Linked DNA regions of Saccharomyces cerevisiae S288C. The gene in region 2 interacts genetically with the main gene of each other region. Each region holds a gene or a part of one and is shown on either strand. Other genes may lie near its edges.

Region 1 (4,122 bases), on a different chromosome or scaffold from region 2:
TCCCTGAGATCTTGCTATAGGTTCATTTTATATATCGTCCAATAGCAATAACAATACAACAGAAACTACTAGCATCTGTTTATAAGAAAAAGGCAAATAGTCGACAGCTAACACAGATATAACTAAACAACCACAAAACAACTCATATACAAACAAATAATATGTCTGACAAGGAACAAACGAGCGGAAACACAGATTTGGAGAATGCACCAGCAGGATACTATAGTTCCCATGATAACGACGTTAATGGCGTTGCAGAAGATGAACGTCCATCTCATGATTCGTTGGGCAAGATTTACACTGGAGGTGATAACAATGAATATATCTATATTGGGCGTCAAAAGTTTTTGAAGAGCGACTTATACCAAGCCTTTGGTGGTACCTTGAATCCAGGGTTAGCTCCTGCTCCAGTGCACAAATTTGCTAATCCTGCGCCCTTAGGTCTTTCAGCCTTCGCGTTGACGACATTTGTGCTGTCCATGTTCAATGCGAGAGCGCAAGGGATCACTGTTCCTAATGTTGTCGTCGGTTGTGCTATGTTTTATGGTGGTTTGGTGCAATTGATTGCTGGTATTTGGGAGATAGCTTTGGAAAATACTTTTGGTGGTACCGCATTATGTTCTTACGGTGGGTTTTGGTTGAGTTTCGCTGCAATTTACATTCCTTGGTTTGGTATCTTGGAAGCTTACGAAGACAATGAATCTGATTTGAATAATGCTTTAGGATTTTATTTGTTGGGGTGGGCCATCTTTACGTTTGGTTTAACCGTTTGTACCATGAAATCCACTGTTATGTTCTTTTTGTTGTTCTTCTTACTAGCATTAACTTTCCTACTGTTGTCTATTGGTCACTTTGCTAATAGACTTGGTGTCACAAGAGCTGGTGGTGTCCTGGGAGTTGTTGTTGCTTTCATTGCTTGGTACAACGCATATGCAGGTGTTGCTACAAAGCAGAATTCATATGTACTGGCTCGTCCATTCCCATTACCATCTACTGAAAGGGTAATCTTTTAAGAGCACGACCTACTAATAACGAGAACTATTGAAATAAAAAAGAGTAGTTTTTTATTTTTCAATTTTTTAATATGATAATTATTTTATGACTTATATAACCACACCAACTAATCGTACTTTTATATGTTTAAATAGAATGGCTGTTTCAGTCGTACACTATTAATAACATTATGTTACTTCGCAATTAAATGTTTTTCAAAGCTAAAACTTCAAAACAAGATATAAACAATGTACAAAAATGATTACGAAAATATAGATGATGTAAGCAAGGTACGGTTATAAACAGTTAACATATAAGTTTACTTCACTTTTTTGCTGACTCCTTTACTTGTCTTCCCTGCACTTTGATTTTACTTCAGAAAAAATAAGATATATGTTTCTGATAAAACTTTTAGGTTAGCGGAGAAGATGTTGCCACGAATATCATGTAATTGAAAGGCAACGAAAGGTCTATCGTTTGCCATTCATAATGTGATTCGACTTGTCTTTTTCATTGTAACAGACATGAAACGTTTCCTTTACGTCCCTATGAATTTTTGTTGGCTGAACTGGGCGCTGCAGGGGCTGGACGATCCAAATGCGCGGATTTTGAACAATTATGAGAATCCGAATTAAAAGAAAGGGAAAACAAATTTAATAACAGGCAGACGTGAGAGAAGAAAAGGAAACGCTGTGATATAGAAAACTATACAAATCCTATTATAAGAAGCCAGAAGAAAGCTGATACAAGATGAGTTGGGAAGGTTTTAAGAAAGCTATCAACAGAGCTGGTCACAGTGTGATAATTAAGAATGTCGACAAGACCATTGATAAAGAGTATGACATGGAAGAACGTCGTTATAAAGTTCTTCAAAGAGCAGGTGAGGCATTACAAAAGGAAGCCAAAGGTTTCTTGGACTCATTGAGAGCTGTGACAGCATCACAGACTACCATTGCCGAGGTCATCTCTAACCTCTATGACGATTCAAAATATGTTGCTGGTGGTGGTTACAACGTTGGTAACTATTATTTGCAATGTGTTCAAGATTTTGATAGCGAAACTGTTAAGCAATTAGACGGGCCCTTAAGAGAAACCGTACTAGATCCAATAACAAAGTTTTCGACGTATTTCAAAGAAATTGAGGAGGCCATAAAAAAGAGAGACCATAAGAAACAAGACTTCGATGCTGCGAAGGCAAAAGTTCGTAGATTAGTGGACAAACCTGCTAAAGATGCCTCTAAACTGCCAAGGGCTGAAAAAGAATTGAGCTTAGCTAAAGATATTTTCGAAAATCTTAATAACCAATTGAAAACTGAACTACCACAGTTAGTTTCATTAAGAGTACCTTACTTTGACCCAAGTTTTGAAGCTTTAATCAAGATTCAGCTAAGGTTCTGTACTGATGGTTACACTCGTTTAGCGCAGATTCAACAATATTTGGACCAACAATCAAGAGACGACTATGCCAATGGGTTATTAGACACTAAAATCGAAGAACTATTAGGACAAATGACAAGCCTAGATATTTGTGCGCTCGGGATAAAATAAATTAATGCTTTTGCCTTTAGTTTTTTACGGTCATTTATGTTTCTTTCATTTAAATTAACAGACCTAAATAGCACTATAATTTACTATCTGCTCTATCTGACCAACCGACTCTTTTTAAGAAAGCAATTAAAAAGCGATAATAACCGCGGGCATGTGTTTTTGTTAACATGAACACAATAAACGTAAGAATGTCTAGCAATAAATTCAAAATTATTATCTTTTTTTTTTTTATTGTTATGTACTATTTTTTTTTTTAAATAAGGTTACAATTCTTTTTTAATTAATGGGATTTACCAATTTGAACGTGATCCGTAATCAGCCAAACGGGATATAAAAGTAGAACAATAGAAGCGAGGAATAAGATACGAATGCCGGATAACAAAGCATTCCTTAGTGTACTAGATTAAGTAAAAAATACCGAATTGTTCCAAAATATCGTGATATTTGAAAGTGAAGTACTCGTTTATTTCAATGCGCGCCCATTATGGCAGCATTTTATCTCCCTTCCCCATTCACTGTTCAAAATTTGTTTCCCGTTAATTCTTCTGTACGGAACGGGATCTAACATCGAATATATAACATTCCTACACCTGGCTCTTTTTAAACTTTCGATTGGCTCATAGCCTCCCTTTTCCTTACGTCCTTTTAAATAATTCATATAAAATGGATCGTCTTTTTCAGCAGAACTCCACAATTGTCTACCAGTTCTCATTGCCATATAAATGACACCACATGCCCATATATCTACGGGTCTTGGATCAAACTCTTCTTTGATATATTCCTCTGGGGCGATGTACGGCGATGAACCGCAAACGCCTCCACTAAGGTGAATATTTTTTTCCCATGCCATCTTGAAACATTCGCTGTTACCAAAGTCTGTAATTTTTAGCACACCATCGTGCGTAAGCAGTAAGTTCTCAGGCTTCAAATCTCTATGACAAACACCCATTTCATGCATATAAACAACACCTCTAATAAGCTGCTTGAAGAAACAATCTGCTTCCATATATTCTAATTTTCCGGCGGCAACGACCAAAGTGAATAGATCGCCACCTGCACAATATTCCATTACTTCACAGTACTCGCCTTTGGCATCTTGGAAAAGATCTAGTGTAGTAACAATATTTGTATGGTGTAATGAAGAAGAAATGCAAAATTCAGAAGTCAACCTCTTAGAATACTTTTCTGCTGATTCGGATGTTCTACGCTTGAACTCTTTCACTGCATAAAGCTTTTCACTTTTATTACCATCTTGAGAAGAAACATTTTTCTTTTGACATATTCTTACTACACCAAAAGCACCTTTACCAAGGACTTCTTGACAGCGACCATACTTTTCGGCAAAACATTGCCTATCTTTTTTAGTAGTAGTGATATTATGCGTATTATTTTTGGAATCTTTTTGATCTGACCTGTATATATCCCTTTCAGGACAATTTAAAGCGCCACTTGTGGGAGCGCCTTCTGGATATTTATCATCCATATCCACGACCTGCTTCATGAAGCCTGCAAAAAGAGTAGGAGGATTCTTGTTGGATTTTAAAGTCGTCTTTGGATCCATTATTATATCAGGGACAGCAG
Region 2 (8,656 bases):
GAGTCACCGCTAACATACAAGTTACCCTTAACCGCACCAGCAGCATCACAGACTTGGTTAGCAATAGAAATACCTTCATAACCAGGACCAGATGGGACTAAGGCGCTACACAACATTTCCCTGTGGTGAAATTCAGTGGAAACTAAACTTTCAAAAGCATAAGTTAAAGGATTAATGAAATGAAGCCATCTAATCCAATGATGCATTTCACCAATTGGCAAGACAAAACCAGCATAAACACAAAGCATCAGGACCCATAAACCACCGACGGCATGGGCATCCACACCAGATTTACTCATAGTAGCAACAAACTTGAAAATGAAAGAAGTACATTGTTGCACAGTCAGTAGATATAAAATATACTGGAAGAAAGCACCAGCTTCATATTTCATAAATGGAATCCAGTAAGTAATCAAACATAGTATCACAATAGCGACAAATTTAGTAGGGAACTCAGTGATAATCTCTTGTAACGATTCCGCAGACAAATGGTACATGGAATATGATTTGTGTTTGACAATAACAGGTCTACTAGAAAAAGAGTTACCAATTTCGGCCAAGGAAGTAACAGAAGCGAACAATAAAACATAGAATAACATACCACCACGAGAATAAGCACCTGCCGTGGTGGATTGACTTTTGTCATCAATTTTGTGGAACATAGAACCGATAATCAAAGCTTTGATCAAAAAAGAACTTAAGTAGACCTTAGTATACGTTGAATCACCCTTAACCCTTTGAAAACCACGAATCATACAATAATAAACTTGTGTCCAATAATTGACAACATATTGAGAATTTTCTCTTTGGCCTTGTTGCAGTCTTTGCTTCTTGGCCACATCCAGTCTATCTCTCGTTTCATTAACAGGGTGTCTACTTTGATAATCATCATAAGTTCTTAAAAGTTCCTGATAATCCTCAGAGTTCAACCAGTATTCCTCAAACTCTGAACTAGATTTTGGAACTTTATCTTCATAGCCAGGTTTAATATCCAATGTCCTATTTTCAAAATCGACCGTGACGGATGTTAAAAATTCCGCAGAGGTCATTCTGTTTGGTTTAACCCAACCCATTCTTTGGAAATATCCAACAGCTTTATCAGCAGGACCGAAGTAAATCTGTCTACCGTTATATAGAACAGTAGTTTTATCAAATAATTCATAAATATTTTCACCAGCTTGGTAAATAGCAACAATAGCAGAGTTGTTTACCATATTTGTAGCCGTTCTAATGGCTTGGGCAAACTCTAAAGCAGTAGAGGCATCCAAACCTCTTGTGGCGTTATCCCAAGAGTAGATGGAGGCATTCATTGCCTGAGCTTCAACCAAGGAAACACGCTTACGTTCACCACCAGAAACACCTCTTACGAAATCGTTACCGACTTTGGTGGCATATGTGTGTCTTAAACCAAAAACGGTACACCACATATCTCTGATGTTATCAACGTATTGCTTTCTCGTCATTTTGTCAATTCTAACACGAGGAGTCTTACATTTTAGGGCAAAATCGATTGTTTCCTTCACAGTAATTTTTGGGAAATGGAAATCAAGCTCGGGACAGTAAATAACGTAACCTTTATACTTAGACATCATTTCGCTTTGGTCCAGACCATCATAGGAGAATTCACCTTGTACATCAACTAATTCTGAAGTTTCACCAGATAGACACTTTAGGAAAGTGGAGCAACCTGCACCTGGCCTACCGACGACAAATAACATTTCACCAGATTCAACGACACCCGTACAATTTTGAATAATATTCCTTAATGGGACATCAGATTTCTTGGTAAATTTACTTATGAGATGTGCCGGTATACTAGCAATATTTCTAAACATCTCTTCAACACTAGGCCCATATGCAGCAGAGGCATCAACACCGACTGCTGTTAGGTTTTTAAAGGCAATACCAGAATCACCAGGTTCAATTCCCTGTTCCAATTGACGAGACCTCAAATAATGTAATAGTGAGCGCAAATCAAAATCTAAGTCATTAATTTCAAAAGAGTCCATTTCCTTCTTTGTCTTATGTGAAATGACTCTCGCCATAGACTCCAACCTTTCAATACCTTCTTCATTGGAAAGAATGTTTGAAAGGTGACGGGATAGCTGAGAAGTGGCTGCCAAATCCTCATTATCAACTTGGCCTTCGGAGGCAGCGTAGGATTGTACCGAATTAGCATAATCATCGTCATGGTTCGATCTCGACGAAATGTCTTTCTCAATATGTTCGTCAGTCGAAGACATTTTTTTATTAATAAGAACAATAACAATAAATCTGTAAACCTTTTTTTTAAGTGAAAATTAGTAACTGGGAAAACAGAGAGAAAAAAAGCAGAAGAATATATTGATTGAAGAATAAAACTGTTTAACGTTCCCGTTTATTTTTCAGATTATCCTATTGTTATACTATTATCGTTCTTAGTCTTTTCTTTATATGATAAAGAGAACCCCAAAAAGAGAACTACCTTGTACCATGGTTGTTAATAAAATTGGATTTGTTGATATATTTATATGATTAACATTTCATTCAGGATAGAATTGCCTAAAAGGTAAGAAATAATCATAAGAACCGTCGAGAAAATGTGATACCGAATCCCTGCGGTGGACGTGGCTAAAGAATAGTGAAGAAAAACCGGCTGTAGTGTATGTTTTGTATGAGCCATAGCCGAAAGATCGAAAAAGTAGCAGATCCCAAACACTTTACGGAAAAAAATCGAGAAATTCCGGCGAATCGGCTCTTAACGGATGCAGGGTGTCAGTCTGATGAGCCATAAAAAGAAAGATGCACCATTGCCAAGCTGCCCTGAGGAAGGGTTTTGGTTACCCTGTGAGATGGATGCGGTAAAATGACCAAGGGACCGGTTGGTAAGGGACCAGGTTAGGAACCGTGAGCGGCGAAAAAAGCGCGCATTTGCACAATTATATTATTAACAGGTGCCTGAATTTTAAGAACCGTCCACCATCACAGGTGAAACAAATCAACAGAGTCCTGCCGGCTGGTAAACAATCCATCTTTGGTTTAGAGGCCACTATCGTCAGAATAATATAAGGTCTATTTTCGGCGCGAAAGTCCTGATGAGGTAAATCGTAGTCAGGCGCCTGAAAGTCTAAACTAAACAATTGAAAGCCGAAACCGAAACGCGGAAAAGTAAATGGCACTCTTCGAGCGGCTACTAGTCGAGTAATTACATTTCTAAATTAGTCTGTGCAATAGGGAAAAGAGAACATTCTTACTCCGTTGCGATGTTTCTGAGCATAAGGCGCGCGCAAAAGCACGCACGCATTGACCGGAGCGGCGCCCACACACGGTTGTTATCCTAGTTTTTGTTGTGAGGAAGTGTTCATATTCTTTTAGGTTATATTTATATATATATATATAAAAGTTGAATGTAAAATGCAAAACAAAGATATCGTAGTATAGAGGGTAATATCACAGTAATAAAACAGGCCTGGTTTGAAGAATGATTATGTTGATGCTGGAGGTCGTAAATTGTAACATGAAATAGGGAGCATGCGAAAAAAAAAAATGACGAGCAAAAAAAGCAAGGTAGACAGGCGTGCCAAGCGGAGTAGTATGTCGTAAGAAGCGAGCAAATAGTACTCCTTGTCTTGCAAAGTAGCGAAGTACAAGACTGGTCTTCAGGCTGCTAGAGATTTGTATCAATTTTGTATTTTTTTTTCATCCCATGCAATTTTCCTTCCCATTTCTTTTGCTTTTTTTGCCGCGAATTGAAATATAAAGTCTGATATGAATTGTTGGAGTCATACCATTCTCTTACGAGCTGTTATTTCCCAGTGAGTACTTAGAAGAATCATTCTTTTCTAAATCGTAAACATCACTTTTCCTTGAAGATTTTAGTAACACTATGTTTGTATTGGAATCTTTCCTCAATCGTTTCTGCTGCCTTGCCAGCAAAGTGGCACTGGCAGTATCACTGGTACTTTTACTCAACTTTAGTCTTAAGCCTAATGAATTTAGAATTGTGACAAATCTTACTTTTATAGCATTAAGTTTCCAATTTTTGGTTAGATTACTGAAATTCTTGGAACACAACCAGCAATAGAACGTGAATTCACCATATAGGATAAAGAAGCCAAAAATAAATCCGGTAACGACGCAGGATAAGATGTGGTTTTCTAGTGCTTTCATCAATTTTGCATCATCTAAATGCCATGAAGAGCCTTTAGTAATGGAGAAAAATGAATAACTATGCATCTTGTAGTAAGCAGGTTGTAGGATTCTTACTGTCCCGTTCTTAGGTATGCGCCATCTTTTGTACTGCTTCCAAATAACACTTAAAAACAACGGACCAGTAGACCCCATAATAGTCATGTAAGGGATAAACCAGTACTTGTCATAGTGTTTCAAAGACTTTAAAGCCTTTAAAAAGAAGGGATGTCTAGGCACAGAACCCATGACATCGTTTGAGACACCTAAAGGTGAAGTCTTTCTTAAGAAGGCCGGGAAAGCTAACAAAGGATCTAGTTTCCTTTCGCAGCCGTCATCTAAATCGATGTATACACCACCATAATGGGACAGGATAAAGTAACGAATGGCATCGGCACGTTCTATGGGGTATTTGTAGTTCTCAAAAGTATCGAGAAACCACGGGTATTCTTCCTTTATAAACTCATAGGCCATCTCGTCCGTCCATAGGATGTACTTGTAATCTGGATGTAGATCGAGACATTTTTGTCTACCCTCTTTCCAGTGCTCAGGGATGTCTTCCGTTTTATAAGTCTGATGTATGATTTTAGGTATTAGTTGAGGCTTTGGAGGTGCATCTGGATTTAAGTCTTCCTCAAGTATAGCATCTTTAACAGTATCGTCAATACACAACGTTAGCAAATCGAAAGTGTAGTATATTATAGATAACAGGAGGAGTATGTTGAAGCAGATAAGGTATTTTAATTCTTTTCTCATCGTGAGTGCAACAGCGGAAAATCAGAAAAATAGAGTAAAGCAAATATGCGAAAATGAAAAGTGTCTTCCGATTTATTGTTTGTTTGTATGTGTTTATTTGAATCCGATGATGAATATTACAACAGGTTAAAGAAAACAAAACATGCGAAGCAAAATATGACGGGAATGTTGGCACCTTTTATTTAACTATATTAGAAAAGAAAAAGCAGAAAACGTAAAATATCTGCGTAAGCCTCCTCCCTGTGTCTTCACTCCTCTAACCATTTTTTCCAAGTAGAAAAGTTTATATATAACAAGAGGGGAAAAAAATGTGGAAATTGGCAGTGGACGTGAGAACAAAAAAGCACCGCTGAAAGGCTTGGCCAAGGAAGTTTAGAAAGGCGATAATAACGAGGTAAGAAGAAAGAAAAAAAAAGAAAAAGATGGCTTAGCAAAAGATTGGTTTTTATCCCGGGGGAGTTGTTGTGGCCGGGAGCAAGAGAAGAGACGCAGCAAGCGTGGGTCAATGATAATGACGCAGCGCGACGCGACGCGACGCGAATTCAAAAGTGTGAGTTTGCTCGGGGATAGTAATAATGCGGGGGGGAAGACGAAACAGACCGTGTGTGGTGTGGGTGGGATTTCGTGGGAGCACGTGGCGAGCAGAGGAAGAGCCTCACACAATGCTGCGTTCTTCATAAAGGGGATCAAAGCAAATAGATAATCGATTCCAAAGACAGATGGCTGACACGCACTTTCACAGTTTCGCAGTTTTTTCTTTTTTCGTAGTCGCTTTCCTAGTCGCTTTCCTGGCTCTTTACCTAATCGGGCTTAACCTAGCAGTACCTTTTCTCGATTCATGAAATCAAAACGCTAGTCACTTCCTTATAATTTCCTTTTTCAATTTCCGCCGCTTGCGTTTACGTAGTTTATCTATTTATAGGTACGGTATACCCTACTGCATTAATAACAATGAGTCCAGCTTTTCTTGGGTCAGTTGAATATTTAATGCATGCTTGTCGCACTGGTTATTTAGGAGCCGCAATTCTAGCTCATTAGAATTGATTTTTAGGTTTAGTTCTTCCAAAGCGGAATCGATGGAATCGCTCTCTTTGAAAACTTCCCTCGCCTTTTCACATTCACTTTCGGTGTTGTTTGTCTTTTTCACATTTTTATCAAAATCTGTCAAGTAAATAAAGGGGGAATCTTTCATATCTAGTATTCTTTTCTTCTTGACGACGCTGCTGCTAGAGCCGTCGCTGTTACTTCTATTTTCTGGTACGTGTACTGGGTAACCCTTTGCATAATAGCCATTCGATGGGGGAGGCGGTGGTGTCTCACGGTGGTGGTAATTATTGTAAGTATGGCTGCTGGAATATGGATAAGCACTGCTGTGATATGATCTATTGTTGGTTATAGACGATACTGAAGGTGGTGGCGGAAGCCCGTTGCTGGTGCTGCTAGTGCTGCTGTTCCCACTACTACCATTTCTGCTGCTGGTGCTGCCAACGCTCATCGGTTGTTGGCGTGGATGATCTGCCTGCATGTTCCGGTATCTGGACTTGACTCTTTTTTCGTCATTATCTTCTTGCGAGGCGCTCGTGGTCCTGCCGTTCGTATCTTGACTATTGCCACGTTGCGGTAGGTGGTACGAATTTGTACCATTGTTGTACCTGGGGGATGGTTGTGCTTGGTAATGCCTGCTATTAGCTGAATAGTACGGCCTTGTATCTGTGTATCCGTTTCGATAGTATGCTCCGGTTTGTCTCAAGTCTCCCTCTTGGGGCGGCTGCTCATAGTCACTGTTGTATCTCGCGCCATAAGACGCATTACCGCCTCTGTAATACGATCCGCCTGCTCCACCTCTACTTCGTCTCGCATGGTGATAACCCCCCCTTTGTCTCGGAGGAGTGGATGAGTATCTGCTATAATTATTTCCCGTGTATCCGCTCATACTTTACTGCGGTTTTTTGGTCACCTCTTCTGCCTCGTAATAAATGTGGTGTTCTTTCCTTTCATCGCAGTTGATTCATTCTCTCTGATGAAAATAAGAGAAAAAAAAGAACTTCACAGGGTAATGGCCCGTACAAAGTGTCTTTTTTTTCAATTCGGAACGGCGGAATTCCCCGCCACTCTTGCCCCGCCCCTTAAAACGCCAAGGTGAAAGGGAGCTCTACTACAGGCCCGCCACAGTATGATGTGGGATAAAAAAGATGATAGGAAGAAAAGGTGCAGACAACATCCTGTATGGGGTGCACGGTGTGGCAGTGCTAGTAATAAAATGATGTGGAGATTAACATGTTGTGGTACGGTATTCTTATCTTCAAGGTACCACAGTATAATTCTGCCTTTATCATTTTTTATTTGTATTATGTATTTTCGTGCTTATCTTGTAATTTTTAAGTTTTGGATTTCGGTGCTTCGTGTAGTTCTTCCCCTATATCTCAATCTAAAGTAAATTATTACAAAATATGGTGGTGATCTTTTAATCTCAAAGCTTCTTTTACTCCGGGCATTATAAAAACAGAATCTCTTAGCAGTTACTCTTTTCCCTTTTCTCTTGTGCCGTCATATTAGAGTAATTATAATTTCTTCTTTTTCGGCTTCCCCTTGTTTCTACAAAATCTCGATTTTATTATCTAACACTATCATAACTACTACTATTACTATTACTATTATTATTATTATTATAAATCTTAAAACTATTATTTGCTAAAACAAAATGGATGCTTTTGAGAATATGTCTGTATCAAATCATCCGGGCGGTAACGCAAGAAGAAACTCCCAATCAGCAAACGAAATGCTTGCATCGCAAATTCAGGATTTCCAGAATATTCCAAGGTCTTTCAATGACAGCAATGCAAATGTAAATTTGTCAAAAAATTGTACTGTCGGCAATCAACTGCCTTTCTCATCACGTCAACAAAAAATTATCATGGAACATTTACTGATAACGAAGAACAATTCTCAACAGCAGAAGGACTATTCACACGTGCCATGCAAATTTTTTAAGATGGGCAATTGCCAAGCTGGCTCGTCTTGTCCCTTTTCCCATTCCCCAGATATTATCAGTTCTGCGAATAATTTACCTTGCAAGTATTTCGCAAAGGGTAACTGTAAATTCGGTAACAAGTGTGTTAATGCTCATGTGCTGCCAAATGGGTTCAAGATGAACAGTAAAGAACCTATTGACATCACTCCCCCTTCACAAAACAACTACTTATCCCATGCTAGATCAGCTTCTTTCTCTACCTACACGTCTCCTCCTCTGTCTGCACAAACGGAATTCTCTCACTCTGCTTCGAATGCAAACTACTTTTCCTCGCAATACCTAATGTATTCGCCTCAGAAAAGTCCAGAGGCCCTATATACTGAATTCTTTTCTCCCCCTTCGTCTTCTTCTTCGTACATCAACTATAGCTATAATAACTCCAACATTAATGCCTATTCTCCAGTCTCTTCGTCTTCATCTAACATTTGGCAAGAGCAAGGCCAAACTACGTTATCGAATCCGAGTGTGAATCAGAATTTAAGGTATCGTACAGGCCCTGCAATTCAAGAAGAATCAGATAATGAAATTGAAGATTTACTTATTCACAATTTCAATTCCAGATACTGTCATGAATGAAGAGCCGCCCCATCCATAGTTTTTCCTAGTTCAAGCATTAATATACCGGACCACTCTACATCTTCCGAAAGCCGGAAAATAAGAACAAAAAATAATAAAAAAAAGCACGTTTAATATAAAAAACAT
Region 3 (4,426 bases), on a different chromosome or scaffold from region 2:
ACTACTTACGTCCAATAAATCGTTATATTTTATGCCGTCGTCATAAAGTGGACACTTTCGAGAGACGGTGCTGGCCAATAAGATGCTGATATTTGAAATATCATTTACCCGGGCCCGGGTGGGAAAAACAAGGAATTAAAGATAATGAAGTGATCTTTTGGCGAGATAGTAAAACTTTCAATTATCTAGGAACAATTTCAAACGCCAATTGTTAACTTTGTGTACAGTATTTCTAGTTTTTATCTCATTGAAAACAAAATTCAGTCAACTTGGAAATTTAAGCAGGCTACTGTGGCATTGAGATATTTTTCCGCAGAGTAAGAACCGATTAGCAAGTTACCGCATTATTTTTAAACCGTGGACAATCATGTTTAATAGAGTCTTTACCAGGTCATTTGCATCAAGCTTAAGAGCTGCTGCTTCCAAAGCTGCTGCTCCCCCACCGGTGAGATTGTTCGGTGTTGAGGGCACTTACGCAACAGCTTTATATCAGGCCGCTGCAAAGAACTCCTCTATTGATGCTGCCTTTCAATCTTTGCAAAAAGTTGAAAGCACAGTCAAAAAGAATCCAAAATTAGGTCACTTATTACTGAATCCTGCATTGTCATTGAAGGACAGAAATTCTGTCATTGATGCCATCGTGGAGACTCACAAGAATTTGGATGGTTATGTCGTTAACCTATTGAAGGTTCTTTCCGAAAATAACAGACTGGGATGTTTTGAAAAAATTGCGTCTGACTTTGGCGTTTTAAACGATGCTCACAACGGGTTACTTAAAGGTACAGTGACTAGTGCTGAACCATTGGATCCTAAATCTTTCAAGAGGATTGAAAAAGCTTTGAGCGCCTCCAAATTGGTGGGGCAAGGTAAATCTTTGAAGCTGGAAAACGTGGTTAAGCCAGAGATTAAGGGTGGTTTGATTGTAGAACTTGGTGACAAGACTGTTGACTTAAGCATTTCTACAAAGATTCAAAAACTGAATAAGGTCTTAGAGGACAGCATTTAACGTTAATAATATAGTTGGATATGCTCAACTCGTTTGATGTTACTTTCTTTGCCTCCCTCCTAATTTTTGATTCTGTTCAAATATATATTCTTTTCCGTGAATTTTTCCTAAACATCAAAATTACGTACATATACGAATAAATAAGAAACCCCTCTAAAAAGTGAATTTTTTTGTTCGAGACAACCATTTTAATCATATATATGTTCGTGTATCCAGGCAAACTTATATTAATCGCAAAAAAAAAAATTATAAGTGTATATATGGAATAAACATAAAAAATAATAAAAGAAGAAAAAAAAAAATAATGAAGAATTCTCATCAGTTTTCGAAGATTTCAAGAAAGTCCGAAGAACATTTAAGACCTTTTTGATAATTCAAGATGTGCATGCACAATAATAACCATTTCATAGTTGAATTTTGATGTATTCTTTCGTTACAAATCAAATATATAGTCAAAGTCACGCCTATACACTTAATAATATGTCTTGATGTATATAAATGGATAATAAATACAAACGTGGGAAGTCGGAGACATTGCCTTTACCCAGCAATTGAACGGGAGGTATGCAAAAGGGTTATTTCTCTTTCTTTACTTCATTTTCAGCAGCATTCATAGCTTTGAAGTTTTTGAGTTTCTCCTTCTTTTCCAATTCTCTCTCTTGCAAAAACTCTTTGTACTTGTCGATGGTGACACGTCTTTGCTTCTTTTGATATTCTTCAAACCCTTTAAAGTTAGTTTGGAACAAATTGTCCCAGAAAGTGAAAAATGGTTGAGCAAAGTTCGTCTTGATACCAAATTGCTGGTGGTGGATATCGTGATAGACAGCGTTATTAGGGAAAAGCCATTGGAATGGGTCAAGTGGCAAAGCATACCCACAGTGGTCATCGACAGTCTTCATGGTGGCAAAGGTAAAAAGAATGATTTGCTCTCTGTGAGTCAAATGAGTTAACGTCATGGCAATACCGGTTCCCAAAGTATCTAACAAGAAGCCCTCAACAGGATTGTTGAAAAGAGCACCGTAAGCATATGGCACGTATAGTTCATGATGAACAGAGTGGAACCATTTGTATAAGGTCTTATTCATATGCATCAATCTATGCAAAAAGTATTGCCATGTATCAACGAATAAAAAGCCTGCAAAGATCTTCAAAGCGGACATTCCGTACATATAGCCGTAATAAATAGCGGCATCTGGAATAATCCGAGGAAGGTCTGCACGAAGCTTCCACATGGCATTTTCTTCAAACCCAGTCATGTAGATCGGCTCGAAGTGCATAAAGATAAGGCCAACAATGGTCTGTATGATATGTTGTAGAATCACTTCAAGGAAAACATGCATTCTCGACGCCTTGTTCCTCTTGGCAACCTCTTCGCTCGGATGAATTCTGTACTTCTCAGCCAGATGGAAAGTGTCTATTACATGGAATATACCAGACAACGCCCAGTAGGCAACAACCGGCGCAACCAAGGCCAGCACACCATCACTCATTTCCGGCAGCAAGGATTCCTTGGGGCGTAAATTAATGGCAGGGGCCTTGGCATAGTGCATAAACCCAAATGAGGTCTTGAGACCAAATGCTAGTGGAAAGGAACCGGCTGCAGTTGCATTCGATGTTACGTTCATCGTATATTTTCTTTTCGTATACACCCTCTTCGGACTAGAATGTTAGAAATACCCAGACCAAACAGTAAAGACGAAGACCCGGAGTAAATGCAAGGGAATAGAAGATATGTAAATCGTTACTTCTTTTATAATCCCAAAACACGAAACGAAAAATGCGGCAACAACAGCGCAGCAGGATGAAGAAAGAGTGAAATAAATCAAGACAATAGCAAACAAGAAATTTTTAGTAACCCAAAAAGAAATTTTTCTGTGAAAATTGGTGCGGAAAGACTAAGAAAAACCGCAGAAGCCGGAGAAAAGCGCGACTGCCCGAAGAAGGACGCGGGGTGAGGGAATAAGACAATAGGAAACAGGAGGTCGAAAAGCTTATTAAGCTGTGCAAGTGAAAAAGATAGAGAAATGACGATAAGGTGAGGAGGATAAAACGCGTTTCAAGTCACACAACAGCAGCAGTAGCAGCGGCAGCAGCAGCAGCGGCAGTAATAAAGACTAGCCCTGTGTATTCCTGTTTTGACCTATCTTCTTTTTGCGGATACCCGCACAGCACGTGTTTTTCCGTGGAACGGGATTTGGCAGAAAGGTTTGCATTGCACTATTTACATGAGCTTATATATGTTTTTTTTTCTACCTGCATTTGTATATCTAATGACGAAGCGTTCTACTGGGAAGACACTTCCGTCTGCTCTGTAGGATGTGATTCGAGCTTAGCTAGTTCCTTCAGAATAACGCTTTCTTCCCTCGCAATGTTCCCCACACGCTGAATAAGCTTGTGTTCCAGCCCCAGAGCATTGAACACATCGTAATTCCAATGTTTGTCCTTGTCACCCATCCTCCATGGGTCCTCCCAGTATATGGACGGTTTTTTGGCGGGTACTGTCTGCTTTTCTGCTGGTGTGGCATTCTCAAACACCTTCAACAAGGACTCCCGCAAGTCTGCCACTGCCTCTTGACAATATGTAGGTCTATACTGTCCGCTATACCAGACGTGCCCGTTAGAGTCCTTTTTTCTTAGCTTGTCACTCTCCTTACGCTGTGCCACATCACGGAGGTATCTCAACCGGCAGAGGTTCTGGTATAGATGGACACTCTGCTTATAGTTTTGCAAGTTCACTACACACATACATTTCCAGATGTCCCTTCTCAATGATGGCTTTCTGTTGCTCCAGTTTGGTCTCACAAACAGCTTATCCACCTGTGTTTGCGAAAAGTTGGGAAATTGAGAATATAGTACTTGTCCATACTCTAGGTTCCTAAAGATGTATACCTGGGGTGGGATTATCTTTGTCTTTTCGAACCATGAAGCGGGGCGGAATCTTGAAATTGAATGGTTTACCTTCATGCTTTTGCCCTGAAATATCGATTTTTCCGTCGCTGTTTCTCTATTTATTCCTCACAGGATCTCCTCTTTCCGTTTCCTCTACATTTCATCATATAGCCTTACTTTCACTTTTTCCTTTAGTATCTGAATATCGGAAAAGAGAATATTGTAGGAAATGTATTTTTCCCGTCTACCGTACAAAATGAGTCGTTAACTTGACAGGAATCATCAACTTTATGCACGTCTGAAATTTAACCGTGGCGTATATGGTTCATTGCTTACACGAATGTCTCCTAGTTTATATTTCCTGAGAAAGTTCTCTACAGCCCAAATAAATAGTTATATAGATATATAAGAAAAGCGACAACAAAAGAAAAAAAAAAAATACAGTCCTACTAAAATAACATAATTGCGGCACAGAAGAGTAACCACAACTAGTAGAACATCGAGAAAGGAGAGGTAACAAAAAATTTTTTT

Evidence for each region.
Region 1: mutations in SUR1 (region 2) and RVS161 together harm fitness less than expected from each alone (positive genetic interaction), as found in Saccharomyces cerevisiae (5 studies listed by BioGRID, with this or other methods).
Region 3: of SUR1 (region 2) and SUR2, a mutation in one rescues a mutant of the other (synthetic rescue), as found in Saccharomyces cerevisiae (7 studies listed by BioGRID, with this or other methods).

The regions. Positions count from the first base shown.
Region 1 is NC_001135.5:129,164-133,285, reverse strand, and holds RVS161 (amphiphysin-like protein RVS161), read left to right. Parts: upstream 1-1,743; coding exon 1,744-2,541; downstream 2,542-4,122. Other genes in the region: ADY2 (Ady2p), read left to right, coding at 162-1,013; serine/threonine protein kinase SAT4, read right to left, coding at 3,005-4,122. UniProt on the Saccharomyces cerevisiae protein: Component of a cytoskeletal structure that is required for the formation of endocytic vesicles at the plasma membrane level.
Region 2 is NC_001148.4:448,135-456,790, forward strand, and holds SUR1 (mannosylinositol phosphorylceramide synthase catalytic subunit SUR1), read right to left. Parts: upstream 4,924-8,656; coding exon 3,775-4,923; downstream 1-3,774. Other genes in the region: ATP-binding cassette multidrug transporter PDR12, read right to left, coding at 1-2,243; LCL1 (Lcl1p), read right to left, coding at 5,296-5,601; LGE1 (Lge1p), read right to left, coding at 5,858-6,856; LEE1 (Lee1p), read left to right, coding at 7,625-8,530. UniProt on the Saccharomyces cerevisiae protein: Involved in the synthesis of mannosyl phosphorylinositol ceramide. Catalyzes the addition of mannosyl to phosphorylinositol ceramide. Suppressor of RVS161 mutation.
Region 3 is NC_001136.10:1,054,756-1,059,181, reverse strand, and holds SUR2 (sphingosine hydroxylase), read right to left. Parts: upstream 2,632-4,426; coding exon 1,582-2,631; downstream 1-1,581. Other genes in the region: ATP5 (F1F0 ATP synthase subunit 5), read left to right, coding at 368-1,006; mitochondrial 54S ribosomal protein mL67 MHR1, read right to left, coding at 3,290-3,970. UniProt on the Saccharomyces cerevisiae protein: Required for hydroxylation of C-4 in the sphingoid moiety of ceramide. Catalyzes the conversion of sphinganine to phytosphingosine in sphingolipid biosynthesis. Involved in the response to syringomycin.